Linked DNA regions of Lonchura striata. The protein of the gene in region 1 interacts with the protein of each later gene in a biochemical or structural test. Links are inferred from orthologs where the notes say so. Each region holds a gene or a part of one and is shown on either strand. Other genes may lie near its edges. The genes, in order: ATF7IP and methyl-CpG-binding domain protein 1.

Region 1 (15,188 bases):
AGTTGGGTGAAAACGCAAAGTAAAGAGTGAATTTGCTCAAAGATGTTATAAGCACTTAGAACATGCTGTTGAATCACAGAATTCTAGAAGCGCTAAGGTTGGAAAATACCTCTAATATCAAGTCCAATTGTCAACCCATAGTTTAAACCATTAAACAATGTCCTCAAGTGAGTGGCAGCACAACATCTTTAATGTATCTATGGGCTTTTTGCATGAGCCATTTCTCTTTATCCAGCTCCAACAGGGATACTTCTTCCACAGAAAAGATTGCGTTATAAATATGGCCCTACCCTATCATAATGAAAAAACTGAGTATGATGAGATAATGATTTGGTTTTAATTTTACTAAGTTGTTCACCTCATTTTGAAACAAATTAGCTACATTTGAAAATATTATTTTGTTAATAATTAATTGTATGTTGAAAGTATTAATAGTAATGACTTACATGAGCTATGTCAAGAAGACATTAAAATTTCAATTCATAAGATAGAGCAGAAAAACAGAAACAAAGCAAGAACCTGTACCAGCTTGTGTTAAAAGGAACTAACATTTCAGCATTGTTATCAAAAAGTGAAGAATAAAAGGAAATACATTATTTACTACACAATAATAACTTTGGGCTCTACTTATTTTGAGATAGGGAAGGCAGAAAGGTGTTTTAATTTTGCTAATTCCCCTAATCAATTCTAATGGGCAATAAATTAATGTTCCCCAAGTCAAGTCTCTTTTCCCAGCAGTAATAACAAGTAAGTGATTTCACTGTCTGTCTTGACTGTCCTAATCTATTTTTTCTAACTGGCCCTGTTGAAGAGGGGGAGTGAGAAAGCAGCTGAGTGGGGATCTGACTGTTAAACAAGGCTAAGTCACCCCAGTCTGTTTTGTTGTCTGACATGTGGTTGAAGGAATTAGAGATAATGATAGTAAGTAATTGGGAGAGGCAGTGCACAAAACTTGAACCGGACATTGCTAGGGAGTGGAGTAATTTCAGGGAGCTTTTTTTCATGTTGTAAGTGAAGCTTGTGGAGAATGTGGACCATAGGGAATGTCTCTGTGAGAGGGCTCTGCTACAGTGGTAGAGGGGTAAGATTTTTCTCTATATGTACATGTTAGCCTTTTAGCCAAATTCTAAGTAGGTTTTCCTATTAGTGTTTTCCTTCCTTCCTTCCTTCCTTCCTTCCTTCCTTCCTTCCTTCCTTCCTTCCTTCCTTCCTTCCTTCCTTCCTTCCTTCCTCCCTCCCCTCCCCTCCCCTCCCCTCCCCTCCCCTCCCCTCCCCTCCCCTCCCCTCCCCTCCTGCCTTCCTGCCTTCCCACCTTCCTTTCTTTCTCACTTCCCCAGGTACACCAATGTTCTGGAGAAATCATCTAAAATTATTCTAATTCATGGAAATTAAATGCATTATTAAGTAACAGCATGGTAACTGCCAATGGGCAGTGCTGACTCCTCCATTTATTGATGACTTTACTCAGTATCAGTGAATATCATGTGTCTTGGTTAATTCCATGCCTCAGTATTGGAGGAAAGGTTGGATATTATCTAAGCTATTTTTATAAAAGAAATATTCATCTTTGTTTACTACATAATAAAACCCTACAGGAAGAAGTACTGACAAAGTACTCAGAATCTGGCCAAAAAATACCACATGACAACTTCACTTAGGAAGAGTCTTTAAAGGAAGACAATGACTTCTAGCAAAAACAATGGTCAACTGAATACAGACAAACCCAAAACTTGATGGGTTTTTTTTTAGAAATATGATTGCGTTTTTAGGTTTGTACAAATACAGTAAGGTTTAAGTTATCCTTCATTTTCACTTTAAGACATCGTGGAGAAAATTCAACCCAAGCTGGAAATACAGAAGTAACAAAACTGATAATTTTAAGTAAATAAATCCAAACAAACTGTTTCTTACATTCCACCCTTCATCTGTCAGCCAATTTTTTATTTACAAAGTCTCCAGCAAGTCTGTAGAAGGTTGATCATACTGGGAAGTTCCAGTTATTATGTAATTAACATCATCTTGAAAAGTTCACTGCTGCTAAGCCCAAGTATTTTACCTTTCAAAGTTGTTAGTAAATCACTCAGCATCTGATTCTTCACTGGCAGTTTCCTCCAGACATGCATAATTTATTGAGACATACCACTTTAATTAACCCATGAGTCTTCCACTTTCTAGAAGGATCTAAAGCGGGTATGACATTGAAAAAAGCTTAAGGCTAGAGCTGAGAATAAGAAAACTGAGAGAAGAATGGTTCACCCTGAGGGTACGCCTTTTACCAATGTATTTCTGTTGCTCAGCATTCAAGGTCAGTTTTTTTTCATTTTTCATTTATTTAGACTAAGGGACATTCAGGATAGACAAAAATCAACCCACACATTTCAGATGATTTGCAGATGAGATGATCAGTTTATTTATTGAAAACATCCAGTATGCATTACATTCCAGACATGTTCAGACAGATTCCTTCCAACAGGTCAAAATATATTCCCAAGGAGGAATCATAGAAAATATTCTTTATATTTCTTTACCCAATTCTAAAAATACTTGTATTGGATAAAACTTAATGAGACACATGTTCAGAAAACTGTGTAGTCTAAAGCATTGTGCATCTAAAAAGTATTATGGGAGCTAAAACTGAGCACTAAATCCTCAACTTGTACTGCAATAACAATGCTACTTTACCTGACGACTTTGTATTACTTTGCGTTTTCAGAGGAAGAAAGACATCTTCCACACCAAGTTATTTCTAGAGCAATTTTCCTGAAGTAATTGAAAGAGAACTGTGTTCAGGAACTAAATTTCAGTCAACACACTTGATGGCAACCAGCTTATTTCATGGCCAAATGAATACTTCTAGTGATTATATCCTGTATATTAGGTACTGGTTTTACAACTAGGTTTCCCAAGTTTCTCATATCAAATGAGACAATAGGAGACAGGCTATTCCTTCCAAAAAATGTTCCTGATTGGTGCTCAGTTTCACTTTATTTTTAGATTCTTCTGGAAAGGATGTTCATTTAATGGATTCCGGTTGTCAATCACATCACATTTTGTTAAAATCACTTTTTCTTTCAAAGTCTGATAGACTCTTTAATAGATGTTAAGCATAAAAATTGACAAGATACTTGCCTGTATCTCAAAATACTGATAGTTTAGTAGAACAAATTTTAAAAACTGGAAAAAACATGGCTTTTTCATTAATTGGACTTTGTACTTACCACTGAATTATACAAATATCACTGCTACAAAATAAGATTTTCTTATTAAAACCATAAATGAAGTTAGATATTATTTGTTAAGGTGGAGGTGGAAGGTAGCGAAGTGAGAGAGGACAACTCCATGGGAAAAATGACTGGTAGGCGTTTAAACTAAATATGTCTGCTCAGCAAATAAATTAGTTAGTTACTACACCAAAGTCACAACAAAGTAAGTTTGATCAAAAAAAGCTGATCAGGAGAATATTTATTTCATAATCAGTAAAATTTATTTTTTAAAACTAACATAAAATCAAAGAGGAATACAGAACATTTAGGAATTTTCCCCAAATCCTCTACTTAGCCTTAAAGATAATAGATAAAAACAGCATATTTTACAAAATTCACATTAGAGGAAGGTACTTAATCTACTGTGAAAAGTAACCTAAGTGCAAATGCCTTAACCAGCTTTAATTAATTACAGAAATATTTCCTCAAGTATTTTCGTTATATTCTCCATGTTTCTGCTCTTTGTTCTTACACTGTGAAGTTAATATATTTAAAAGATTTATAAAATGTCTTAACATAAATTCACAGATGTTCTTAAAGTTTTGTATTAAAAAAAGCGCCCTTGTATGAAAAAGGAATTTAAAAAGCTTTCTGTTTTTCTTTACCAGAAAGTTAACATGCAATTCCTTTATCAGTGATATTTTAAGCCTTCATAGTGAAATTCTTGAAGACTGAAATCAAGAGAAATGTTAATGTTCAAAAAGACCTCTATGATTAGCAAGTTGAACCATTAACATAACAGTGCCAAATCACAGATCAGGTCGTCAGATAAGGATTTATTTTTTTCTTACCAAAAATATTTCTGTTAGTGAAATGACTTTCTGGTATTATGGTGTTTCTTTTGACCTGTGTAGGAATTGTTTATAATCAGATAAGTTTAATCATTCCATCCTATTAGGCAATTAATATGTAAGAAACACTGACTAAACTAGTGATTTACTAAAAACAATGTAAATCCTACTGGCTCAAAAGTGTCAGCCATTTAGCAAAGTGAGGTCTTTAAATACATGTTCTCCAGTAAGGATTTAAAATTGCTGGAAATAAAATTACTTTTTCCCTCTTGCTAAATATTTCTTACGATTGTCTTTTGTTTTTATTAAAAGTCAGCAGTTGTCTTTATATAAAAAGTATATTTTCGTATTGAGAATTGTACCTTTCTTCATGCATCACTTTCCTTTCTTCCTTTTAGCATTCCCACTGTGACCCTGCAATGACTCCATCAGCAATTACTAAATCATATGGGGAGAGTTAATATTTTGAAAATATTAATGTTGTTAATATCACACGTCTAACACAATCTGATATACAGAGAGAATGATCATGTAATCAGATTTCTAGTGATATTCATAGGCTGGAAGGTGTCCTATAACACTACCTGGAAATAAGAAAATTAAATATTGTATACAGATTTTAAGAATGAAGTTCATTGGAGAATTGGAAATCAAGAAGAAATTCTCTGTTGCACTTAAGATGCCCAATTTTTAACATTCTTTTTGTAAAGTGCATTGGAATATATGTTTTTCTCTGTGTTTATCATTACAATGATTGAACACACTAATAGAGGAATCAGACAGGAAACTAGATGGATATCTATTTTTTTGTGGTGTTAAAATTTTCTGTCTTGTTAATTTAATTCCAGCGTACTGTTTGCTTTGCACCTGCCTTTTACAGCAAAACCCTCACATTTTGCAAATAGAGACAAGTTGATGAAGTTGTGTTTTTCTGAATTTTTTTTATTTTAACATTCCTCTTGCAAAGATGCTGGGCAATATTAACTAATACTATTGCTTTTTCAAATGTGTGACCAGTCATAGGAAGAGTGGTTGACAAAAATCTGGAGTTTCAGTTCCTCAAATTCCTAATCTTGTAATTCAAATATTATCTTTTCTTCAGATTTAAGGATACAGTCCTATTACTGCTGCTGGTATCTGAAATGCCGTAGCAGGACACTAACTTTCTAAAACAGCTACATTAATACAACTCCCCTGAATCGTCTGCATGCCGTTCCCTCATGTCCTGTCACTGGTTGCCAGAGAGAAGAGATTGGTGCTAGCTCTCGTTCTTAACTCTCTCTTTACTACATGAATTGTATTGCATTGAACAAAAGTGCCTTGCTGTAATGGCTTCTATACTAAATTAAGTTTCAAATAACACTAGTTATTCAAAGAGATTATAGAGATTGAAGAGATTCACGGTCTTCTGGAAACTCATCTTTTAGCCAGAAAGCATTCAATCCTGATTGACTCACAAAGGATTTTTATGCAAGAACCCTGCAAAAGTGATCACCAGAAGGGAATTTACAAGTTAAACAATAGGCATGGCTATGAACTGCCCACTTCTGGGTAGTTCTGGCTTCTTCTTTCTGAAAAACCTTGTAGTCTGTCTACACAAAAGCTCAGAAGACTCAACTTCAAATTAATGTATTCCTTTTTTCAAGACAAAATATTTCACTATGAAACTGTAGCTCAACAATGAAAGTTTAAGACATTATGGTTACAGGTTTCTACCACACTTCCTCTTAGAAATTTTCATGCCTGTAGCAAAGACACTGAGGAAGATGCATGTTCCCATTTCAGCTGTTCAAGTTCCAGGTTGGTACCCCTTCTTAAACCCTGTTGTGACGTATTTGCAAATTTATGGGCGCGTGTACATTTCCTTGTTGCATCTTGGCTGTGTAACAACAACAACAACAAGTAGCAGAGAGATCAGGCAAACCACTGGGAATGGCAGAACCCTAAACTACTGCCCCTCAATCTGTTGAGGAAAACCTTCAGTGCAGGTAGCTCGGTGTATAGCTGCAGTGCAGCTGCAGATTGAGCTCTGGGCGGCAGGAGTCCCAGAGGGGCAAGAGGCTGTGAACTGGTGGCAGCCCTTTGCACAACAATGGAAGCAAAGGGCCTGTGGCATTTGCCACGTGATCGGGACACTCAGAGACATGGCAGGAGCCAAGGACTCAGCTGGAATACCTCAGACTATAGTGTGCATAGAATGGGAGGGTATAAAAGTTCAGGGCTTCCTTTATTCAGGATCCCTCCTCCAAAGCACCAACTCCAGGTCTTATTCTGTTGTTGCACTGTGATTTTTTTATTTTAAGGATCCAGATGTTGGAGACTTTGCTATAGGAAACTTGGCGTCAAACCAGTAAGGAAAACCTGATCTGACTTTGAGAGTGTGGTGAGGGTAGAAAGTCAAGTGAGGCACCCATTGGTTGCTGGAGCCGCCAGTGCAAAGCAGCTTCAGTCCCAGCTTTGGTGGTGCAAGTGTAACTGCCAGAGTGGTTCCTGGGTAGTCACACAGGAAAGTTTCCTTAGCCAATCCACCAAGCACACCTGACAGGACTCTGAAAATGGCTGTATAATAGATACGGTTTCATGACATACGTGCACAGAGAAGCCTATTGGTCAGCCTGGTCCATATATGACAGACAGAAAATTTATTTATATTTAGCTTGATTTTCAAGAAAACAAATAAAAATGCTGGTTTTCACACCTTCAATAGGAAGCATGTGATCTTTATTTGCCTTAACGAGGAGAGAACAGGATTCTCCAGTACCAGATTAGTAGGTGACTGGTGCTTCTGCCAAGAATCTACACATGCTTATCTCTGCTCTCATGGTTTCTTGTGTACCTAAGGACACAGCCATGTGTCTCTCTCCTAGACCTGACCCATGCCTCATGTGACAGACCACCAGCTGGTCAGTTCTGCCTTTGGCTGTGCTACAAAGAGCACCAAGTTCTAGCTCACGTCAAAGCAGGCTGCGTGTTTTTCTCCCCCGTGCCTGAGGCAGACATGGAGGGTGGATGGGGAATAGCACTTGTGGTTTTGACCTGAAGCGCACCCAGGATTACCCATGTGCTTCAGATTCACCTAAAAGCAAGAACTAACAGGCACCGTTTGGTTTCTTGGCCCTCTTGAACCTCAGCGCACGTTATCAAACATCTGGGCTTTGGTCAGGCACAACCCTAGCCCAGAAGTGAGACACGAGGCGTGATAAGGAATGAGCAGAGAGCACTGCAGTTCACTGATAACGCAGCCTGGCGGATTTCAGGCGGGCTTTCGAAGGTGTCAGAGAGGCTGCAGAGCCACGATTCTGGAGCTCCTGTGGCGGGAAGCTGGGAAAGGAAGAGAGGAAGGCAGGAAGCAAGGCAGGTTGGGCCGGCTGCTCCCGGCACCGCCCTTCGGTGCGCCACAGCGCCCCCTAGCGGCAGCGGCCGCAGCGCGCCCCGGCGCTTAATGCGCCTACACTTGCACGGCTGCGCGCCAGGGGGCGGGGCCACTGCTCATTTAAATATCACGGAGGCTTATTTGCATGCCACGCAGATGGCCGGCCCTGCGATTGGCCGGTTCCGGAGCAGCCCCCCACTGCCGGCCCCTGTGCCCACGGAGGGGGCGGGGCCAAACGAGAGAGGGGAGGAGACACTGGGCTAATTTGCATAGCGGCCGGCGTGTGTGACGCGGGGAGGCGGTGTTGGCGTCCGGAGCGCGTTGCGAGTTTGAATCCGCGGCGGCGGCGGCGGCGGCGGCGGCTGCTCGGGCGGGAGCTGCCGCGGGACGCGAGGGCGCAGGTACTGCGGGGCGCGCTCGGGGCGCGGGCGCCGGGCGGGCAGGGCACGGCGGCGGCCGTGCTCGCTGCTCCGCGCGGCGGCGGCGGCGACTGCAGCTGCTGCAGCAGCAACAGCGCGCATGCGCCAGGAAGCTGCACCTCTGTACACGCGCATGCATGGGAGCACGTGACCTGGCTCCAGTGCAGCGGCGGTGGCGCGCGTGCGCGTGCCCGTTGCATTCGCGGGTTGGCGGCGGCGGCGGCGCGGGCGCAGGTGGGTCTGACGGGGGCGCGCACCGGGCAGCAGCGGGCACCCGCCCGGGCGCGACCCGCCTCACGCGGCCCGGGCGAGGCGAGGCGAGGCGGCGGCGCGTGTTTGGGTGGGACGGGGGCGTCCGGCGCCTCGAGAGCGTTCCCTCGCTCCCTGCCGGGATTGGGCTGGCGCGCCCGGGGCGGCGTCTGGCGCCGCCGGGAAGGGCCGCGCCGGCGCGGCGGGCGTGGGACCTCGCAGCGCATGGGCTGTGCAAGCAACGAGGGCAAACTGTTGATGGTGTTCTTGCACTGGTAGGCACCAGGAGCCAGTTTCTCTGCTTTATCGATATGCTTGTTCATTGGGAACCAGACAGTTTCTGTATGGCAACAGAGAAGGCAAGTTGTGCTTACTCGTGTGATGCCACCAGTAAACAAGGCCCAAGCGGCTCCTCGAGGTGTCATGGCTGCCCATATCAGGCAGCATGGCAAAAGAGTTTAAGACATGAACTAAGTTAAAGAAGGTACATTCCAACCTCTCCTCTTCCTTAGCTTAAGTATTTTAAATATCGAAACTCTTCAGAGTTAAGCGGTTTTTTTCTTTAATTCTGAGGCCTGGTGTAGCCTTGCCCTTGAGTAGCTTGTTCTAGCAAAATCCATCTTTCTGGATTTTGCAGTCGTTGGCAGATATTCGGTGGAAATGCTGATAGTAGGATATTTTGTTGCTTAACAGTAATCTTGAAATCATTCTAATAACGTCGTATGACTGCAATCCTTACCATAGATAGACTTACTCGAAAAGTTGGATGGAAATGTTGATGGAAAAGTACTTGCATAAAATAAAGGAGTGAACAGCTCTGCTGTTCTAGGAAGCAGTCAGTGAGCTTAAAATGCAGGCTTCGGTCACAGAAAAACGTTACACATCTAGACATTTACTATGCTAACAAGAGGAAGTATGTTAATAGGTATGTTTGTTTAATATCCGCAACTATACAAAGAAATGCATGAATACGTTTATTAGAACTTAATTCTGCAAGATAAGACTATTTTACAAGCATGCTATTTGTATCTCTTTTGGAAGTTAAAATATATACATGTGCTTGTTACAGTTCAGAATACTTATTTTTTCAAAAACAGAAGAGTGTAGAATGTTCTTAATCTCTGCTTAAATGTGGAATTAATAAGTTAAATATGAAATCTGTACACAACGATCTGTTATCAGTGTAAAAAATAGATGGTTTTCTAATTAGGTGTTGGTTTTTGCAGTCCTGCAGGAAGGTATGAAGGAGAGTGTTGCTGCAGATATTAAGAATTTCTTGAAGGGAAAGAAACCAAACACAAAAACCACTGCTGTTTGATACGTGATCCTGGGTAGGTAATGTCTGAGTTTCAGATCTATGAAATGGGGCTAGTGGTTGTTTCAGGCCAATTATAAAATAAATTCACTAAGAACTACATGAGGATTTATGCAACTCATGAATCGTGGTAACTGCACTCACTATTTATTCTTGACATACAGCAGTTATTATTTTACATGCTCCAAAAGTACCAAGTTAAATTTCTATGTGTATATATTCCAGAGAGAATTATATTAATAATAACTTTGGATTCTTGTTACATTTCTAGGTTAGAGAACATAGTACATTATTTTGGAGTAAATGGTGTTTGTATCAGCTGCAACCTTTCTACCAGCTGTAGCAGTGCTGAGCTGATGCTTTCTGTGATAGTACGGAACAGTGTTGCATTCTGCTGTATGAAATAACTTATCAAGAGAGTGTCTTGGATGTCATGTAGACTTGAAACTGATCAAAGCAGTATTTATTTGTAAAATGATACAACAATAATTATATGCATCAATTTAAGTAGTTATTCTGGTGCTTTTTTTGTGAGACCTCTAATTTTCTACCCCATATGAAGTCTGTTTTTAAGAAGATGCTGATTCTAATAGACACGCACATCATTTTGCCACATTTCCTGTACCTCTATAAGCAGTAGCTTGTTATTATTGTACTCATTTCACAAATTTAAAAAATCAACATTAATTGTAATGTGTGAATTTCTCTATAAAAGCTCCTTTAGTAATGCTTCCCTTGGGGACATAAAACACATAAGCATATGCTTTCTTACCATCATTGCTGGAAGGTGATTTTGCTAGCCGAGAAAGAGTCTGAACAACTTAATAAAAGTTACTAGTTAATAATTAAATTTTAAATATTGCTCTTACAGAATCCAATGCAAACAGAAATGTTTTGTATGTTCAATGAATTCTAAAATACTGATTTGTCATTAGTAACTCAATTTTCTTTGTATTTGCGTGTGTTTCCTGTTACAAACTAGAAGTATTTTCACCATGAAAAGGAGCTGACTAAGCCAAATACTGTATTTTGTTTTCAAAATAAGGGAAAAAACCTTATTTCTCACCATTTAGATGTTTTATTGATGTAACTATTTATTAGGTTTATCTCAATTTAATTGTCAGAAACTATACATATGGCAAAAATGTCAAGTTTATTCATGGAATGTAAGCAGAAGTTTATTAATGGAATGTAAGCCAAAAGATCCTTTAAACCAGTATCTTGTTCTTACTTAATAGTTTACACGTTAATTTTTTTTTTACTATTTGTTCTACCTTTGGTGTTTTTTTCTGTATTATGAGTTAGTTCCATGTTTACATTATGATTTTATTTTGGGAGTTCATCACAATTTTCTTAAGGGGTAATAAATGAAGAAAATAAGTTGCAAGTTACAAAACTGTTACGATATGTGAGTGTGAGGAGTTGGGATTTTTTCCCTCTCCTTGATACATTTTTAATACCGCTCTTAAGTGCAATGAAATATAATGTTATTAATAATTTTGAGAAATATCTCTCATTGGTCTCCTTGATCTTCTCTAGTATGCAACATTACTCTGAGAGATTGACCTATTCACACAAAATTAGTGGGAGTTTGTGAACTGGTCAATATAAATGCTGCTTTGGTGATGAATATTTGTAGTCCTGGTATTTCAGTTCTGCTCACTGAACTGTGTGTACTGCATGAAAAAATTCTCCTAGTTCCACTGTACTGTAAGAAGCTGTTTATCAAGCAACAGTGACTCGTCCAAATACAGGCTGGAGAGTAATATAGGGCTGTTGTGTGTGGCAAGATTTTTTGTTTGCTGGTTTTTTGACAGCTCATTAAAAGCAGAAAGTTAAGTTGTTTTTAAAGTAAATTTTTCTTGTCAAGTCAGATAGCTGTAGAATATCTTAATCTCTGAATATGGTTTAGGTATGAATTGTGTAATACCTAATATTTAACATTTCTCTACTTGGGCCTTGGTTTAGACACTAAAGCCTACTGGATGATGTCAGAGGAAGTAACTTATAATATTTTTAATACTTGGTTAGGAGGCTCTGGAACACAGATTGTTTCAGCTTCTGAGTTCTGGTTATTTTCTCAAATGCATAATTTTACATAATATTATGGAGATCTTAGTTTTTATTTGGCTGAAAAGATTTTGTGTATTGTTGATAGCGTTTTTAGATGTCTTCATTTTTTGTTCATGTTCAGGTTTTTCTAACTTCTTTTTCCGTTTTGTATTTTTATAATAATGGCAGTCAAGAAGTTCTTGATTTTGTGTGTACAATGCTTAAGTCTTTGAAAGCATCTAACTGAAGTACAGTATCAGTCTACAGATTAGACTATAAAAGTGAGTGTCATCTGATGTAAATATAAAGCACTGATATTCATTCTCTAGAAACTTGCTCTTCAGAATGCATTATTTTTTCCTGTGGAAGTGTGATTCAGAAAGGAGAGTCTGTTTTGTTTGGAGGGCAATTTTTTAACTTAAATTGCATATTCTGGTTTTAATGAGTGTTCTAGTTCTTAACGCTGTTTTTCCTTGACTGTTTGTCTGACGATATATATAGGCCAAAACGTATTCCAAAGTTGTAAGCAGATTTTTCCGTTGCATATGACTTTTATATAGCTTTGTATTTCCTTTCATCTCATGTTGTACTAGATAGCGTTAAAAAAGCCAGAATGCTTTAACTGAAAAATAAATCATAATCATAGAATGGTTTGATTTGGAAGAGACCTTAAAGATCATCTACTCCCAATTGTCCTGAAGTGCAGGGAGATCTTCCATTAGACCTGGTTGCTCAGAGTCCCATCCAGCCTGACCTCGAAAACTTAGATGGGTGAGGCATTCCTCACAATTTAACCACCTCACTGCAGTGCCTCACCACTCTCACCTGAAAGGATTTCTTCCTAATATCTAATATAAACCTACTGGTTTTCAGCTTGAATCCATTACTTTTTGTTCTGTAACTCATAACCTTATAAAAAGTTATTTTCCAACTCTTTTATAGGTTTCTTTTATAAGCACTGGAAGGTCCCGAAAGTATCTATACAGCCTTTTCCAGACTGAACAACCCCAGTTCTCTCAGCTTTTCTTCTTGGGAGAGGGGATCAGTCTCTCTAATCATCTTGGTTGCCTACATTTGGACTCATTCCAACAAGCCCATGTCCTTTTTTATGTGAACATTTGTTGCTAGTTATTCTATTCTTAGTAGTTATTGCAAAACTTTTTTGTTTTCAGTAAATATAAAAATAAGTATCAAATATAGTTATTAGTTATTAATAATTACTAATTATTAATAATTAATATCTGTAAAGTCTGAGAAAATGAACAGCTGGAGTGAGGAGAGTTTACCAGTGTTGGCAGTGAGGGAGTTTTGAAATTATATGTTGTTTTGGGGGAATAACTTGCTATCAGTCAGTACATGAGCCAGTGTCCAGTGTTTACTTGCTTGGTGTAGTAAGGAATGAGTGATAACCCGAGTAAAAAGTAGCAAGACAATGTTTGTATGAAATGTGGATTTGCTAGTTCCATTGCTCACTCCTTATCTTGTTTAGTACTGCTGGTGTATATTTTTTTAAATTGCCTGTATATTTAACAGCAAATCTGCCTTCCCCTTTCCATTCCTCCCCCCATCTTTCAGGGGTTTTTTGAAAGTAAAGACTCCCTTGTAGGTGTAGCTGAGAGCATGGTACTAACTATACAGTACTAAATAACTGTAATTTTTAGTGGTATGTCAGTTTCCATCCCATGATAATGGAACAATTCACAACATTGTGTAAATGACTGTATCTTGTATAAATACCTTTTATGTTTCTCTGGGAAAGCTTTTGTTTGGGAAACAAAAGTGAACTATGCCTCTTGTTGTATTTTGAGCCGTGCTTGTTACAAATTATTAAAAACTGTACATAGGACTTACTAGCTCTTATTTTTTTCATGAACAAACATCAAATAATTTGAGAATTTAGGAAATTAGATGGCTGGGTCCCAAGTACTTGTTTTTAAATGTATTTTTAAAAATATTTAGTTCAGCTAATTTTTGAGGTACTTTATGGGTATCATGAATTTTTGTAATACAGGAAAAATGTTTTCCTCTTCCGGATTTGGTTTCTGAAAATGCTTTCAAGTAAAGTCCCATAGTCAATACACAAATTTTATTAATTATATGGCTATGGATATGGGAGATTAGCACAAAATGACAGTTGTTAGAAAAACCTGTGTATTATTCTGTCTCAAGCATTGTCTTTCATTTCACGGTAGTGTAAAGAAATGTTATAGTAAAAAAAACCCCAAACAATTTCCCAAACAGAAATACATCCCTCTTGTATCCCCCCACAAAAGAAAAACCCAAGCCAAACAATCCAAAAGCTGCCATGTTACTTCTAGCTTTGCCTCCAACATGGTGCAGTTTCCATAAGGTCATTTTTAAAACAAGCTGCATTAAAATTTCTTGTTTCTCCGAGAAATGTGTTTAAACACATTAACATAAATGCTGGTTGACTCCAGTCAATGCTCTGAAAATTTTGCTCCTTGGTTCTACTATCAAGCAGCTTAGAATAATGAAGAGTCCTTAAATGTTGTGCAGACTTTTTTCTTAACTTCAATATTCCTTGTCTTATGATTATGAGCTCTTTTCTTTCTCCCAGCAGTTTAGGTAGTGTTTATTTGTGAAGTCCTAAGTGAGAGCCAAGATGTTTCTTGAAGCCAGTCTACTGGCATGTGTGAAAATGGGAATAAAAAAGGATTTCAGTGGATAGTGTTTAGAGACTTCAGTTGAAATGCATAAGATAGTAGTTTTTCCTGAATTTTGTCAGTGTAAGAACTGTTTTCTCTACTTAATGTCTACTAACACTTAAAACCCTACCTAGCAAAACAAAAGATCAATAAAGGAAGTGGGTAAGTGAGAAAAGTAGGTAGAATGTGGTTTGGACACAAGGATTTGTGGGTGATACGTAGATAACTGGTTTCTAAGCATCTAATTTGAGCAAAAGAAAGCATTCATGCTTTGGCTGTTCTGTTGCCCTTGTTATGTTTAAATGCATACAACCTTGTCTGAAAGGGCAGAAATTTCTGTCTGCCCTTGATTCTTCAGGGAAGGAGCCCTGGTATGAACTGTGGCTCTATGTAATGATATTGAAGAGGTGTATGCAAAGGTGATGTTACTTACACAGGACTTACTTAGATAAACAACAGGATGCCGCCATTCTCTTGCAATTTTTGTTTGAAGTTCATGAGAAATTGGGAAAATGGAAGTCCTGTTTTAATTTATGGCTACAGTTATTGAACTTACTGAGATGATATTGGTGTGTTTTGGCATGATATCAAAAGAGGGCAGGATTCAAGGTTGTTTGGAGTTCTTATCATAACGTGTTAAGTCTAACGTCCATTCTCTAGTCTTATAAAATTGCTTTATTTTCTTGTGATTTTGACCAGAGAACCTGTATAAATGCTATGCTAAGTAGCAATGAAAAAATTGTAGTCCCATGCTAGTACAGAATCACATATTAGTGTAGGTTCAGTCTAACATTTCTTGAGCCAAAGCAATTTCAGAGGACTTACTCCATTCATAAATCTGTGTTTACCTAAATAGTAGGTTTTATTTTAAAATTAGTGTGATTAATAATTTTTAACACATTTTTAACACACTTTACTAACACATTTGTGTGCTAATGGAGGTATGTTAAACTGGACATTTAAGTTAATGCATGTGAATTCCTACTATTCAGCAAGATTTTTTTGCATCCATGTGTCTGTGTTAATGTATTAGTGTCTCTGCAAGTTGCTGAAGCTTTCT
Region 2 (14,851 bases), on another chromosome or scaffold:
ACGTGTCCTTGGTCCCCAAATGTCCCTGACGTGGGACCGTGGCATGTCCCCACGCTGGACTGTGCCCTGAGGCATTGTCCCCAAATGTCCCCAGCGTGTCCTGGCACATCAGGACATGTCCTCATGGCACTCTGAGGTGTGTCAAGCATATCCCTGCATGTCCCCAGCGTGTTCTGGCACGGCTCCACACCAGGCCATGCCCCGAGGTGTGTCCCCAAATGTCCCCAAGTGTGTCCTGGTGTAGCTCCGTACCAGGCCATGCTCTGTGGCATGTCCCCAAATGTCCCCAGGCATGTCCTGGCATGGCTCCACACCAGGCCATGCCCTGTGGCGTGTCCCCAGCATGTCCTGGCATGTCCCCACACCAGGCCACATGCCTCAGGCACCTCAGGCCACATTGTCCCCTCGTGTCCCTTCACGGGCCACACTCTGAGACGCATCAAGTTTGTCACCCCACGTGTCCCCACGTGTCCCCGACATGTCCCCACGTGTCCTCGGTCCTGCCAGCCCTGGCTCAGTGACGCCGAGGACGCACCGTTCCTGGACCCCGTCCTGCGCAAGCGCGCCGTGAAGGTCAAACACGTCAAACGCCGCGAGAAGAAGTCAGACAAAAAGGTGAGGGGGCACTGGGAGCTACTGGGAGGGCCACTGGGAGCTACTGGGGGTTACTGGGATGCTCCAGGGGTTGCTGGGAGGGCTCTGGGTGGTTGCTGGGTTACGAGCAGTGGTTACTGGTTGGTGACGGGTGGTTACTGGTGCTCACTGGTGTGGAAGGAGGAATGGCGGAATGAGCACTGGGAGGATGCTGGGAGGTAACTGGTGCTAACTGGTGTGGAAGGAGGAGCGCTACAAGCAGCACTGACTGTGTTGGGCTATGACTGGTGGTGACTGGGTGGTGACTGGGAGGTTACTTGTGTTAACTGGTGCTAACTGGTGTGGAATGACGAGCACTACTAGTGGCACCAGCAGCGGGCACAGCACTGGGAGGGCTCTGGTGGTTACTGGGAGGTTACTGGTGCTAACTGGGGGTTACCGGTGGAGAAGGAAGAGAACTACAAGCAGCGCTGACTGTGTTGGGCTATGACTGGTGGTGACTGGGAGGTTACTGGGCTATGAGTGGTGGAGACTGGGTGATTACTGGGAGGTTACTGGGAGGTTACTGGTGCTAACTGGGGGTTACTGGTGCAGAAGGAAGAGCGCTACAAGCAGCACTGACAGTGTTGGGCTATGACTGGTGATTACTGGGAGGTTACTGGGAGGTTACTGGTGCAGAAGGAAGAGCACTACAAGCGGCACTGACTGTGTTGGGCTATGACTGGTGATTACTGGGAGGTTACTGGGAGGTTACTGGTGCAGAAGGAGGAGTGCTACAAGCGGCACCGGCAGCGGGCACAGCATTGGCAGTGCTGGGCTATGACTGGTGGTTACTGGGAGCTTACTGGGAGGTTACTGGCGCTCACTGGGGGTTACTGGTGCAGAAGGAGGAGCGCTACAAGCGGCACCGGCAGCGGGCACGGCACCGCGAGCGCCGCGGGCACCCCGAGCGCGCCGACGCCCGCGACCCCGCGGGGCTGGGCCAGTGCCTGGGCCCCGGCTGCACCCGCCCCGCGCGCCCGCCCTCCAAGTACTGCAGCGAGGCCTGCGGCATCAAACTGGCTGCCAAGTGAGTACCCACCAGTACGGACCAGTATAAACCAGTGCGGGACACGACAGGCTGGTATAGACTGGTATAAACTGGTACAGAATGGTACTGGCTGGTATAGAGCAGTACAGAACAGGACAGGCTGCTGTAGACCAGTGTAAACCAGTACAGGATAGTACAGGCTGGTGTAGACCAGTATAAACTAGTACCCAATGGCACAAACCAGTATAAACCAGTACAGAACAGTACAGGCTGGTATAGACCAGTATAAACCAGTATGGAATGGCGCAGATCAGTATAAACCAGCAATGATCTGTAGAGTGATGCAAACCAGTATAGACCAGTATAAACCAGTAAAGGATAGTACAGGCTGGTGTAGACCAATATAAACTAGTACCCAATGGCACAAACCACTATAAACCAGTACAGAACGGTACAGGCTGGTATAGACCAGTATAAACCAGTATGGAATGGCGCAGATCAGTATAAACCAGCAATGATCTGTAGAGTGATGCAAACCAGTATAGACCAGTATAAACCAGTAAAGGATAGTACAGGCTGGTGTAGACCAATATAAACTAGTACCCAATGGCACAAACCACTATAAACCAGTACAGAACAGTACAGGCTGGTATAGACCAGTATAAACCAGTACGGAATGGCGCAGATCAGTATAAACCAGCAATGATCTGTAGAGTGATGCAAACCAGTATAGACCAGTATAAACCAGTAAAGGATAGTACAGGCTGGTGTAGACCAATATAAACTAGTACCCAATGGCACAAACCAGTATAAACCAGTACAGAATGGTACAGGTTGGTATAGACCAGTATAAACCAGTACAGAATGGCGCAGAGCAGTATAAACCAGCAATGATCTGTACAGAGCGGTGCAAACCAGTATAGACCAGTGTAAACCAGTACAGAATGGTAAACCATTCTACAGTATAGACCAATATAAACCAGTACAGACCAGTATAAACCACTTACACTCCCCATTAACCCTTTCCTCACCTGGATCCCAGCCGGATCTATGAGATCCTGCCATAGCAGATCCAGCAGTGGATCCGCCAGTGGATCCCAGTGATCCCACAGCCCCCATTAACCATTTCCTCACCCCAATCCCAGCTGGATCTACGAGATCCTGCCGCAGCGGATCCCAGGGATCCCGGAGCCCCCATTTTAACCCTTTCCTCACCCCGATCCCAGCCAGATTGATGAGATCCTGTCATAGCAGATCCCAGGGATCCTGCACTCCCCATTAACTGTTAGCTCGATCCCAGCTGGATCTACAAGATTCTGCCATAACCAATCCAGCAGTGGATCCCAGGGGTCCCGGAGCCCCCATTAACTCTTTCCTCACCCCGATCCCAGCTGGATCTGCAGGATCTTGCCACAGCGGATCTCCAGCTGTGTATCCCAGGGATCCCACAGCCCCCATTAACCCTTCCCTCACCCCGATCCCAGCTGGATCTACGAGATCCTGTGACAGTGAATGCAGCAGTGGATCCCAGGGATCCCGGAGCCCCCATTAACTCTTTCCTCACCCCGATCCCAGCTGGATCTGCAGGATCTTGCCACAGCGGATCTCCAGCTGTGTATCCCAGGGATCCCACAGCCCCCATTAACCCTTCCCTCACCCCGATCCCAGCTGGATCTACGAGATCCTGTGACAGCGAATGCAGCAGTGGATCCCAGTGATCCCACAGCCCCCGTTAACCCTTTCCTCACCCCGATCCCAGCTGGATCTACGAGATCCTGTGACAGTGAATGCAGCAGTGGATCCCAGGGATCCCGGAGCCCCCATTAACTCTTTCCTCACCCCGATCCCAGCTGGATCTGCAGGATCTTGCCACAGCGGATCTCCAGCTGTGTATCCCAGGGATCCCACAGCCCCCGTTAACCCTTTCCTCACCCCAATCCCAGCTGGATCTATGAGATCCTGTGACAGTGAATGCAGCAGTGGATCCCAGTGATCCCACAGCCCCCGTTAACTCTTTCCTCACCTCAATCCCAGCTGGATCTACGAGATCCTGCCGCAGTGGATGCCAGGGATCCTGGAGCTCCCATTTTAACCCTTTCCTCACCCTGATCCCAGCCGGATCTACGAGATCCTGCCGCAGCGGATCCAGCAATGGATCCCTGTGATCCCACAGCCCCCGTTAACCCTTTCCTCACCCCGATCCCAGCCGGATCTACGAGATCCTGCCGCAGCGGATCCAGCAATGGATCCCTGTGATCCCACAGCCCCCGTTAACCCTTTCCTCACCCCGATCCCAGCCGGATCTACGAGATCCTGCCGCAGCGGATCCAGCAGTGGCAGCAGAGCCCGTGCGTGGCGGAGGAGCACGGCAAGCGGCTGCTGGAGCGCATCCGGCGCGAGCAGCACCAGGCGCGGCTGCGGCTGCAGGAGATGGAGCGGCGCTTCCACGAGCTCGAGGGGCTCATCGCCCGCGCCAAGGGGCACCCGCCCCGCGAGGACGAGGAGGTGGGCACCCCCCGGGGCTGCCGGAGGGCTGGGGACCCCAAAAATGCTTTCATTCTACCCGTTTTGCATCCCTCTTGTGATCGCACTTGGTTATTTATGGATACGTGGTTGCCCCCACATCTTTTAATTTTCCCTGTTCTGGGTCCCTCTTGAGATCCCCCTTAGTCCTTCGTGGATATCTGGGTGCCCCCAAATGTTTTCATTCTCCCTGTTCTGGCTTTCTCTTGAGACCCCTCTGCTGTCCTGGTACCCACACTCAGCTCCTGCAGGGCTGGGCCCCCCAAAAACCCTTTAGTTCTGGGTCCCTCTTGGGATGCCCCCAAACCCCTTTATTTTTCCCCATTCTGGGTGCCCCCTGGGCATCCCCCAAATCTCTGAGTCTCTCCTGAGCCCTGTCCTGGGTCCCCCATGGATACCTGGGTCCCCCCAAACCTCTCCCTGGAGCATCTGCGTGTCCCTGGAGCCCCCTAATCTTGTGTCCCCCCAATGCCTGGGTCCCCCCTTGGACCCCCTGACCCCGCTGTCCCCCCAGAGCACGGAGGGGGACAGTGAGGACACGGACCTGCAGATCTTCTGCGTGTCCTGCGGCCACCCCATCAACCCCAAGGTGGCCCTGCGGCACATGGAGCGCTGCTACGCCAAGGTGATCCCGGGATTTGGGGGGGGTCTGGGGGCACCTCTGGATTCCTGGGGTCTTTGGGGTCATCCATGGCATTCCAGGCTGCTGTGGGATCATCCATGGGGTCTGTGGGATCATCCACAGGACTCTCTGGGCTCCTGTGGGATCCTTTTAGGGGAACTTTGGGAGCCCCCAGAGCTGGGCACCCCTCCTAGATCCTGCAGTGGCCACGGGGATCCCTTCCCTCAGCTTGGGGGGACTGGGGGGGGTTCCTAGGGGGCTGGGGGGACGCTGCGAAGGAACTTTGGGGGTTTCTATAGGGGCTGGGGGGGCTGTAGGACCTGCTGGGAGCTCTGTAGGGACTGGGGGTTCTGTGGGGAGGGTCTCTATAGGGGCTGGGAGGCCATTAGGACCCTATGGGAGGGCTCGGGGGGGCTCTATAGGGGTTGGGAGTCCATAGGGCCAAGGGTGGGCTCAGGGGTCCCATCCCTGCCCCCTTTTTGACCTCCCCCACCCCATTGCAGTACGAGAGCCAAACGTCCTTCGGGTCCATGTACCCCACCCGCATCGAGGGGTGAGTGGGGAGGGGGCTCTGGGGAGGGGGGGCACCCTGGGGGGCTTTCTGGGGTAGGGGGGTCCTCCCACCCCCCTAAATCCTCCTGGGAAGGGGGAGGGCAGCACCCAAGGGAGACTTTTTGGGGTGGGGGTGTCATCCCCCCCAGGGGAGCACCCAAGGGGGAGTTTGATTGTGGCTGTCTGGGGTGGGGTGGGGAGTCCTTCAGCACCCTGTCCCCCCCACCCAGGACACCCCTTGTGTCCCCTCCAGGGCCACTCGGCTGTTCTGTGACGTTTACAACCCCCAGAGCAAAACCTACTGCAAGAGGCTGCAGGTGCTGTGCCCCGAGCACTCCCGGGACCCCAAGGTGGGCACAGATTGAGATTTTGGGGTGGAATTTAGGGCATCTGTGCCCCGAGTGCTCCTGGGATCCCAAAGTGGGCACAGAATGAGATTTTGAAGTGGAATTTAAGGCATCTGTGCCCTGAGCACTCCCAGACCCCAAGGTGGGCACATGGGGGCTTTGGGGAGCAGGGGCAGTGCCCAGGACAGTCCTGGGACCCCAAAATGTGCACATAATGAAATTTTGGGGTGGAATTTAGGGGATCTGTGCCCCGAGCACTCCCGGGACCCCAAGGTGGGCACAGATTGAGATTTTGGGGTGGAATTTAGGGCATCTGTGCCCCGAGCGCTCCCTGGACCCCAAAGTGTGCACAGGGAGGGCCAGGACAATCCCAGGACACAAAGTGGACGTGAGGGGACAGGACAGGGGCAGTGCCCAGGACACTGGCAGGACCCCAGGGTGGCCATGGAGGTGGCGGAGGGGCTCTGGGTGTCCCCAGCCCGGCGCTGACCCCGTGCCCGCCTAGGTGCCCGCGGATGAGGTGTGCGGGTGCCCGCTGGTGCGTGACGTCTTCGAGCTGACCGGGGACTTCTGCCGCGTCCCCAAGCGCAAGTGCCACCGTCACTACTGCTGGGAGAAGCTGCGCCGCGCCGAGGTGGACCTGGAGCGCGTCCGCGTGGTGGGTGCCACCGCCCGGTGTCCCCAGGGTGTCCCCACATTGTCTGTGTCACTGTTCCCACGCCGTCCCCACACTATCCCTGTCCCCCACAGTGGCACAAGCTGGATGAGCTGTTCGAGCAGGATAGTGTCCCTGTCCCCACACTGACCATGTCCCTGTCCCCATGCTGTCCCCACACTGTCCCTGTCCTCACACTGTCCCCACACTGTCCCTGTCCCCACACTATCCCTGTCCCCACGCTGTCCATGTCCCTGTCCCCACACTGTCCCTGTCCCCACGCTGTCCATGTCCCTGTCCCCACGCTGTCGCTGTCCCCCACAGTGGTACAAGCTGGATGAGCTGTTCGAGCAGTACAGTGTCACTGTCCCCACGCTGTCCCCACACTGTTGCTGTCCCCCGCAGTGGTACAAGCTGAACGAGCTGTTCGAGCAGGACAGTGTCCCTGTCCCCACACTGTCCATGTCCCCACACTGTCCCTGTCCTCACACTGTCCCTGTCCCCACACTGTGCCTGTCCCCACACTGTCCCCACACTGTCCCTGTCCCCACACTGTCGCTGTCCCCCGCAGTGGTACAAGCTGGATGAGCTGTTCGAGCAGGACAGTGTCCCTGTCCCCACACTGTCCATGTCCCTTCCCCATGCTGTCCCCACACTGTCCCTGTCCCAACACTGTCCATGTGTCTGTCCCCACACTGTCCCTGTCCTCACACTGTCCCTGTCCCCACACTGTCCCTGTCCCCCGCAGTGGTACAAGCTGGACGAGCTGTTCGAGCAGGAGCGCAACGTGCGGGCGGCCATGACCAACCGGGCGGGGCTGCTGGCGCTGATGCTGCACCAAACCATCCAGCACGACCCGCTGACCACGGACCTGCGCTCGGACCGCTGACCACGGGCCTGGCTCGGACCGCTGACCACCCCCGGAGCCCCAAAACCCCCCCGACCCCTCCCCACATCCCCCCACCCCTGATTCCTGGGTGCTCCCCCATCCCCAAATAAACCGGGTGTGCAAAACGAGTCTGGGGGTGTCCCTGTGCTGTTGTTGGGATTTAGGGGGGCTCCTGTGGGGTCTCTGGGATTCTGGGGGTCCCTTTTGGGGGAATTTTGGGAGGCCCTGGGTTCTGGTACCACCCCAGACCCTGCAGAGGCCATGGGGATCCCTTTGCTGGCCCTGGTGCAGCTTGGGGGGGTCCTGAGGAGACTGGGGGGTCCTTAGGGGGTGGGAGAGGTGGAAATGGGAGCAGCATCTATGGGGAGATTGGGGGGTCCCTGGCGGTTTCTGGGGGTCCTTTGGGGGGGGGTCCTGGGGGGATATGAGAGCAGCATCCGTGGGGAGGGTGGGGAGGGGTCCCTGGTGGTGTTTGGGGGTCCTTTGGGGGGGTCCAGGGGGTCCTGGGCAGGGGAAAGGGCCCCAATGAGCCCGAGGGGAATGTTCCGGACTCATTAGCATAACCACGCCCACACACAGCTCATTAACATATCCCCGCCCTCCTGGCGTCACGTGCCGCGCGGTCACGTGCCTCCCCCGCTCCACGGGTCGCGTATCGCCCCGCCCCTCCCTGGCTCTGCCTTTTCTCATTGGTTTACTCCGCCTCACGTGACCCGCACCCCTCGCCCCTCGCTTTTCCCGCCCGGCGTTTCCGCTTCCGGTGCGGGGCCCCGCCCCCTCCGCCCCCCGCGGCCTCGCCGGAGGAGGAGGAGGAAGAGGAGGAGGAAGAGGAAGAGCTGCGCCACAGGCGGGGGCGGATGGGAACGGTGAGAGCCCGGCGGGCTGCGGGACCGCAGCGGGGAGCGAGAGGGAAGCGAGCGGGGAGACGCGGCCGGTGGGGAAGGGCGGCCCTGAGGGGGAAGGGGCGGGGGGGGGGGGGGGGGCGTTCGTCTGGGGGAAGGGGCGTGAGGGAGGGGGCTGGGAAGGGGAGTTTGGGGGCGGTTTGCCAGGGGAAGGGGCAGTTTGTGACGGGGAGGGGCAGTTCAGGGGTTGTTTGGGAAGGGGAGGGGCAGTTTGTGAGGGGGAGGGGCAGTTTGGTGTTAATTTGTGAGGGGAAGGGGCAGTTTGTGACGGGGAGGGGCAGTTCAGGGGCTGTTTGGGAAGGGGAGGGGCAGTTTGGTGGCAGTTTGTGAGGGGGAGGGGCAGTTTGGTGTTAATTTGTGAGGGGGAGGGGCAGTTTGTGAGGGGAAGGGGCAGTTCAGGGGTTGTTTGGGAAGGGGAGGGGCAGTTTGTGAGGGGGAGGGGCAGTTTGCGAGGGGGAGGGGCAGTTTGGTGGCAGTTTGTGAGGGGGAGGGGCAGTTCAGGGGCTGTTTGGGAAGGGGAGGGGCAGTTTGTGAGGGGGAGGGGCAGTTCGAGGGTTGTTGGCGAGGGGGAGGGGCAGCCTGGGGTTGTTTGTGAGGGGGAGGGCCGGTTCAGGGCTGTTTGGGGAGGGGCAGTTCGGGCTGCGGGGCAGTTTTGGGGTGTCCCTGCGGGCTCGGGGCTGTGTTTGTGTGGGGGAGGGGGTGGCCCTGGCGGTGGGGGAGGGGAGGACGGAGTCACGTGGGGAGGGGGCGCGGCCCGGCTGTGTTTGGGGGAGGGGTCCGGGGGTGTTCGGGGCCGGTCGTGACCCCCTCCCCACCCCCTCCCGGGGGTCCCAGCCCCCCCGCAGGATGGCGGAGGGCTGGGCCGAGTGCCCGGCGCTGGGCCCGGGCTGGCAGCGCCGCGAAGCTTTTCGGAAATCCGGGGCCACCAGCGGCCGCAGCGACACCTACTACAGGAGGTACCCCTCCCCAAAAACCCCCGGCGCCCCCCGCCCACCCCCACGGGACTGCCCGTGCTGCCCCTTCTCCCTCCTCCCATCCTAGACCCCATCCCGTGTCCATTTGGCCCCAAAACGAGCCCCCAAACCCTCTAATTTTAAGGAATCCCACACCCCCCCACCCCTGCTGGTGTTTCATGGGGGATTTCAGAGCCCCTCTCCCATCTCCCCCTCCAGGAGCTCCCCGCAGCCACTTCAATTCCCCTTTCCCAAAATACTCCCAGTCCCCTCCAAGTTTTCCAGGCTATTCTGGGGCTCGGGAGAGCCTTTTTGAGATCGCAGGGGAACTTTGGGGTACCCTGAGCTCTGTCCCGTCCCCGTTTCCCATTCTCCCTTTGGCATTTGGGGGCTCCCCCAGGCTCAGCGACCCCCCTGGGGTTTTGGGGCCGTTCCTGGGGGTTTTGGGGCCCGTCTGACCCGAGCCCCCTGGCAGCCCCACAGGGCAGAAGTTCCGCAGTAAGATCGAGCTGCGGCGGTTCCTGGGCCCTGGGCATGACCTGAGCAACTTCGACTTCAAATCGGGGCTGGAGCGGCCCGGCCCCACACGGGTATGGGACCCTAAAAACCACGGGAGGGGGCACAAAAATCCCAAAAAACCTTGGGGAGGAAAACCTGGGGCTCTCCTGAGAGGGGAGCCTCGTAACAGGAAAAGAGTGGGGGTGGAATAAAGAGATGGGATAAAAGGGGCTCCTCAAAACAAGGGGAATGAGGTTAAGGTGAATCAAAATTGGGGGGTGGGTGGGAAAAAAAGGGTCCTTAAATTGGGGAGGAGCTGTAATGGAGGTTTGGAAGGGGGGAGGGCTCACAAGGGGATCTCCCTCCATCTTGTGACCCCCCCTTTTGTGCCTTTCAGCCCAGGAAGAGCCCCAAATGGCACCTGCCCGCCGGGCCCCTCCCAGAGCCCCCCAAAATCTTCAAAAAGGAGGAGGAAGAGGAGGTGGAGGTGGAGGTGGAGGTGGACGGGGCTGAGACAGAGAAGGCCCCGCCCTCATCAGTTCAGGCCCCGCCCATCGTCGTCCAGGCCACGCCCCCTGCTCGCCAGGCCACGCCTCCTCTGGTCGAGGCCACGCCCCCTTCGGCCGTGGCCACGCCCCCACCGGAGCCCCCCCACCGCAGGAGCCGGAAGCGGCCGCCCCTGGAGCCCCCCCAGGATGGGGTGGTGGCGTGAGTGGGGCAGGGGGGTGGTCCCTGGGGGGCTGTGGGGGTCCCCAGGTGTGGGGAGGGGGTCCCAGGAGCAGGGGGTGACCCCAGGAGGGAGGGATTGGAATCCCTGGGGGGAGTTTGAGGGGTTCCTGGGGGGAAATTCAGAGTAGGGGGGTTCTCTCGGGGCTGTGGGATCCTGGGGGGCAGTGGGGGTGTTGGGGTTCCCTTGCCCCCCCCCCCCAAAATGCCACCTTCTCCTCCACAGGCTTTGTGCTGGCTGCCAGAGCCTCTTCCCGGGGGTGTCACTGCCCCCCCAGCGCCGCTGCCGCTGGCTCTGCCCCGACTGCCGTGGTGAGCTTCGGCCTCAGCGCCCTCCTCCTCATCCTCTGCATGCTCCTCCTCGTTCTCTTTCTCCCATCTTCCTTAGCTCTCTCAGAGCTTTTTGTGTTTTATTCTCTTCCTCATCTTCCTGTTGTTCCTGTCCTTCATTCCCTGGGCTTTTCCCTCTCCGTCATCATCATCATCATCATTCCTTGAATTGCTCCAACCCCATAATTGTAATTTTTTTCCTCGGGAACTTCCCGTTCCTCCTCCTCCCTGATTCTGCCCTGCCTCCCTTTCTCTCTCTTTTGGACCATTCTGGGGGGGAAGGGAGCTCAAAGAAATTTGGGAGTGGGGTCAGGGGGGATCCCAAGAAAGTTGGGGTGACCCTGACCCCCTTCCTCCACCTCCCCAGCCCGGAGACGAGACTTCAACAGGGAGCAGCGATTCTACAAGGTACCCCCAATTCTCAGGGGGGGAAAAGGTGCCCCTGGGCGTTCCCCAGATCCCTCAGGGGGTTTGGGGGACCCCCCCAGAGCCCTGACACCCCCTCCCCACAGCGGGTGGGCTGCGGCACGTGCCAGGCCTGTCGCATCCCTGAGGACTGCGGGATCTGCAGCGCCTGCGCCCGCAACCCCCCCGGGGGTCCCTCCGGGCCCGGCCGGACCCCCAAGTGCCTCCTGCGCCGCTGCCTGCGCATCGTCAAGAAGGTACCGGCACCCCCTTGTCACTGTCACCCCCCTGGGTGTCACCAGCAACCCCCCAGTGTCACCAGCACCCCTGCATGTCACTGTCAACCCCCCAGTGTCACCAGCAACCCCCCAGTGTCACCAGCACCCCTTTGTCACTGCCACCCCTCAATGTCACCGCAATCCTCCCTCTCCCCATGTTGCTGTCACCTCCTATGTCACCTCTTTATCACCTCCTTGTCCTCTCTGTTGTCTGGGGAGGAATGTGGTGCTGCACATTAATCTGTGTTAATTAACGTTATCAGTGTTACTCTGTGTTACTGATAGCCCACGTTCTGTGTTTTCCTTGTTGTCTCTCATTATTTTACGTTATTCCACTCTATTCCCTGTCATCCACGTTATTCCATGTCCCCTGGAGGGCTCCTGGCCTGTCCCCCTGTCCCTGATCTGTGCTGGCACATCCACCCATGTCCTGTATTCTCCCGTGCTAGCCCATATTATCCCAAATTTTCCCAGTATTTTCTGTGTTATTCCATGTTCTGCCCATGTCCCCACAGAGGCTACAGCTCCTGCCTTTTCCCGGTCCCCCTGTCCCTCTGTCCTTTGTGGCTGCACATTCATCCATGTTCTCCTGTATCCCCCCATGTTTATCCCATATTATCCCATATTTTCCTATTTTTCCCATATTTCCCCATATTTTCCTATATTATTCCATATTATTACATGTTTACTGTGTTTTCCTGTGTTTTTTGCCTGTATTTTCTCATGTTTGTTATCCCATATTTCTCTGAGGTTTTTCCCCTGTGTTTGTTCCCCCATGTTTTTTTGTCTTTGTGTTTTTTCCCCCTATTTTCTCATGTTTGTTATCCCCTATTTTCCTGTATTTTCTCCATGTTTTTTCACCCATGTTTTTTTCCCCATGTTTTTTTCTCCATGTTTTTTCCCTGTGCTTTCCCCCCATATTTTCCCCATCTTTTCCTCTATGTTCTTTTCCATGTGTTTTTTCCCTGTGTTTTTTTCCCGTGTTTTTTGCCCCCATGATTTTTTTCTTCATGTTTTTTCCCTGTGTTTTCCTCCTGTCTTGTCCCATATTTTCCCGTTTCCCTGCGTTGTTTCCCCCGTTTCCCTGCATTGTTTTCCCGTTTCCCCTTGTTATTCCCCCGTTTCCCTGCGTTGTTTCCCCCGTTTCCCTGCGTTGTTTTCTCCTGTTTCCCTGCCTTGTTTCCCCCATTTCCCCGTGTTGTTTCCCCCATTTCCCTGCATTGTTTCCCCCGTTTCCCTGCGTTGTTTCCCCCGTTTCCCTGCGTTGTTTCCCCCGTTTCCCTGCGTTGTTTTCCCCCGTTTCCCCGTGTTGTTTCCCCCGTTTCACCGTGTTGTTTTCCCATTTCCCCTTGTTGTTTCCCCCGTTTCCCTGCGTTGTTTCCCTGCGTTGTTTCCCCCGTTTCCCTGCATTGTTTTCTCCTGTTTCCCTGCCTTGTTTCCCTCATTTCCCCGTGTTGTTTCCCCCATTTCCCCGTGTTGTTTCCCCCGTTTCCCTGCATTGTTTTCCCCCATTTCCCTGCATTGTTTCCCCCGTTTCCCCACGTTATCCCGTGTTTTCCCTGCTCTCCCGGGTAACCCCGGTGTCCCCGCAGGGCCTGGGCTGCGGCTCCTGCTCCGGCTGCCTGAGCACCGAGGACTGCGGCAGCTGCTGCATCTGCCTGCGGCGCCTGCAGCCCGGCCTCAAGCGCCAGTGGCGCTGCCTGCGGCGCCGCTGCCTGCGCCCCAAGGTGGGACTGTCCCCTCGGTGTCACCCTGCCATCCCCGGCACCTCCCCGCTCTCGGGGTGTCACCCTGCCCTGTCCCCCCACGCCGTTGTCCCCTGCTGACCCCCCACCCTGTGTCCCCCCAGAAAGCCAGGGTGGCCAAGAAGCCGCAGAGCCCCCGGCCCCTGACGGAGGTGAGTGCGGGACCCCCGGGCGGTGGCACAGCGCGGACCCCCCTAGCTGTTCTGGGGGAAGGGGCACCCCAAGGTGTCCCCCCCTCAGCCCCATTTCTCCCCCCAGAAGTGGAAGCCCCTGGTGGAGCGGGAGCCCAGCGACGCCTCCAGCGCCAGGCACAGAGTGAGTGGGGCACACCTGGGCACACCTGGGCACACCTGGAACCCCCAGCCCCCCCCGCAAACCCCCCCTCCCTCCCAGAAGCCGCTGACCAAGGGCAAGGAGAAGAAGAAGCTGGGGCGACCCCCGAAGGCCCCTGGGCCCCGCGGGGTGAGTGACAGGCCTTGGCCCCGCCCCCTGTCCCTTAGCCCCGCCCACCCGCAGTGGCCACGCCCCTCCCAGAGCAGCTATTGGGGCAGGGGAAGCCGTAATGTTGTTAATATAGCGGCCTGTAAAAGGGGGCAGTATTGGGGTGCAGGTACCGTAATGATCCTAGTGGCTGTTCCAGCCCCTAATGCTGATGTTCAGGACCCAGAATAATGGGGTGCAGATATCGTAATTATCCTAAAGGCTGTGCCAGCCAATAATACCAGGGCTCAGGCTCTGCAATAATGGGGTGCAGGTACCGTAATGTTCCTATGAGCCGTTCCAAGGCTGAATATTGGGGTTCAGCACATTCGAACCCCACTGATACTGGTGTGGCAGAGCCATAATACCCTTAATGCTGGGGTAACTGTGACACCTCAAAAACTGTACATAGCTAATGGCGACATCTGAGCAACCCCAGCTGTGGGCTTGGGGCACCGTAATGCCCCAAATAATGGGGTTCGGGTACCCCAAAACCCCTCAGAGCAGGGTTTGGTTACCATAATCCTCCTAATAACCGCTCCAGCTGTAATGGCAGGAACCAAGGTATCAATAGCAGTGTGCAGATACCGTAATGCCCCAAATAGCTGGGCTCAGTACCATAATGCCTCTAATAGCTGCTCCTACCGGAATGTCTGCTAACCCACTGCTGCTGCCTGGCTGCCGTAATGCCCCTAATACCGCCGCATCTACCGCAACGCTCCTAATAGCTGCTCCCACACTAACACCAGGCCACCGGGCGGGCCCTGGGGACGCCCCCGCGGCGGGTCCCGGGGACAGCCGGGGAGCCGGGGGTGACGCCGCTCTCTGCCGGCAGCGGGGGGCGCGGAGCCGGGCCAGCCGGCGCTGCGGGGTGTGCACAGCCTGCCGGCGCCCGGCCGACTGCGGCCGCTGCGACTTCTGCCGGGACAAGCCCAAATTCGGGGGGCAGAACCTCAAGCGCCAGAAGTGCCGCTGGAGGCAGTGCCTACGCTGTGCCATGGTGGGTGCCCCCCCCAGTGCTTCCTCCCAGTGCCTCCCAGTAACCTCCCAGCGAGCCCCAGCCGTCCCCTCTGCCCCCTTTCCTCAGCAACCCGACTTCCTTCGGCTGGGGAAACTGAGGCACGCGCAAGGTTCAGGCTCCCCCGGCCGCCCCGGTGCTGGGTGCAGCCCAGTTTGGACCAGTATGGACAAGTTTGGGGTGGGAGGGGGGCATTGGTCGGCGCTCAGGTGGCACCTGGACGTCTCGGTCCTGTTTCTGGGGGGGGGGTTGTGTGGACGCCTGGGTCCTTCCTGCATTGCTTGGCTTTGGGGGGGCTCGCCCT

The links.
Region 2: the proteins of ATF7IP (region 1) and methyl-CpG-binding domain protein 1 form a complex in vitro, tested with the Homo sapiens proteins (2 studies listed by BioGRID). The link is inferred for Lonchura striata from reciprocal best matches to the Homo sapiens genes ATF7IP and MBD1.

The regions. Positions count from the first base shown.
Region 1 is NC_134607.1:57,511,782-57,526,969, forward strand, and holds the start of ATF7IP (activating transcription factor 7-interacting protein 1), read left to right. Parts: upstream 1-7,545; 5' UTR 7,546-7,828; intron 7,829-7,898; exon of another isoform or gene 7,899-8,080; intron 8,081-9,321; exon of another isoform or gene 9,322-9,426; intron 9,427-15,188. UniProt on the Homo sapiens protein: Recruiter that couples transcriptional factors to general transcription apparatus and thereby modulates transcription regulation and chromatin formation. Can both act as an activator or a repressor depending on the context.
Region 2 is NC_134638.1:839,765-854,615, reverse strand, and holds the start of methyl-CpG-binding domain protein 1, read left to right. Parts: upstream 1-7,972; 5' UTR 7,973-8,069; coding exon 8,070-8,078; intron 8,079-8,948; coding exon 8,949-9,070; intron 9,071-9,542; coding exon 9,543-9,657; intron 9,658-9,962; coding exon 9,963-10,273; intron 10,274-10,517; coding exon 10,518-10,603; intron 10,604-10,988; coding exon 10,989-11,029; intron 11,030-11,133; coding exon 11,134-11,283; intron 11,284-12,896; coding exon 12,897-13,031; intron 13,032-13,153; coding exon 13,154-13,201; intron 13,202-13,307; coding exon 13,308-13,364; intron 13,365-14,364; coding exon 14,365-14,529; intron 14,530-14,851. Other genes in the region: CXXC1 (CXXC-type zinc finger protein 1), read left to right, coding at 508-615, 1,479-1,663, 3,922-4,129, 4,662-4,772, 5,273-5,322, 5,575-5,671, 6,174-6,326, 7,072-7,212. UniProt on the Homo sapiens protein: Transcriptional repressor that binds CpG islands in promoters where the DNA is methylated at position 5 of cytosine within CpG dinucleotides. Binding is abolished by the presence of 7-mG that is produced by DNA damage by methylmethanesulfonate (MMS).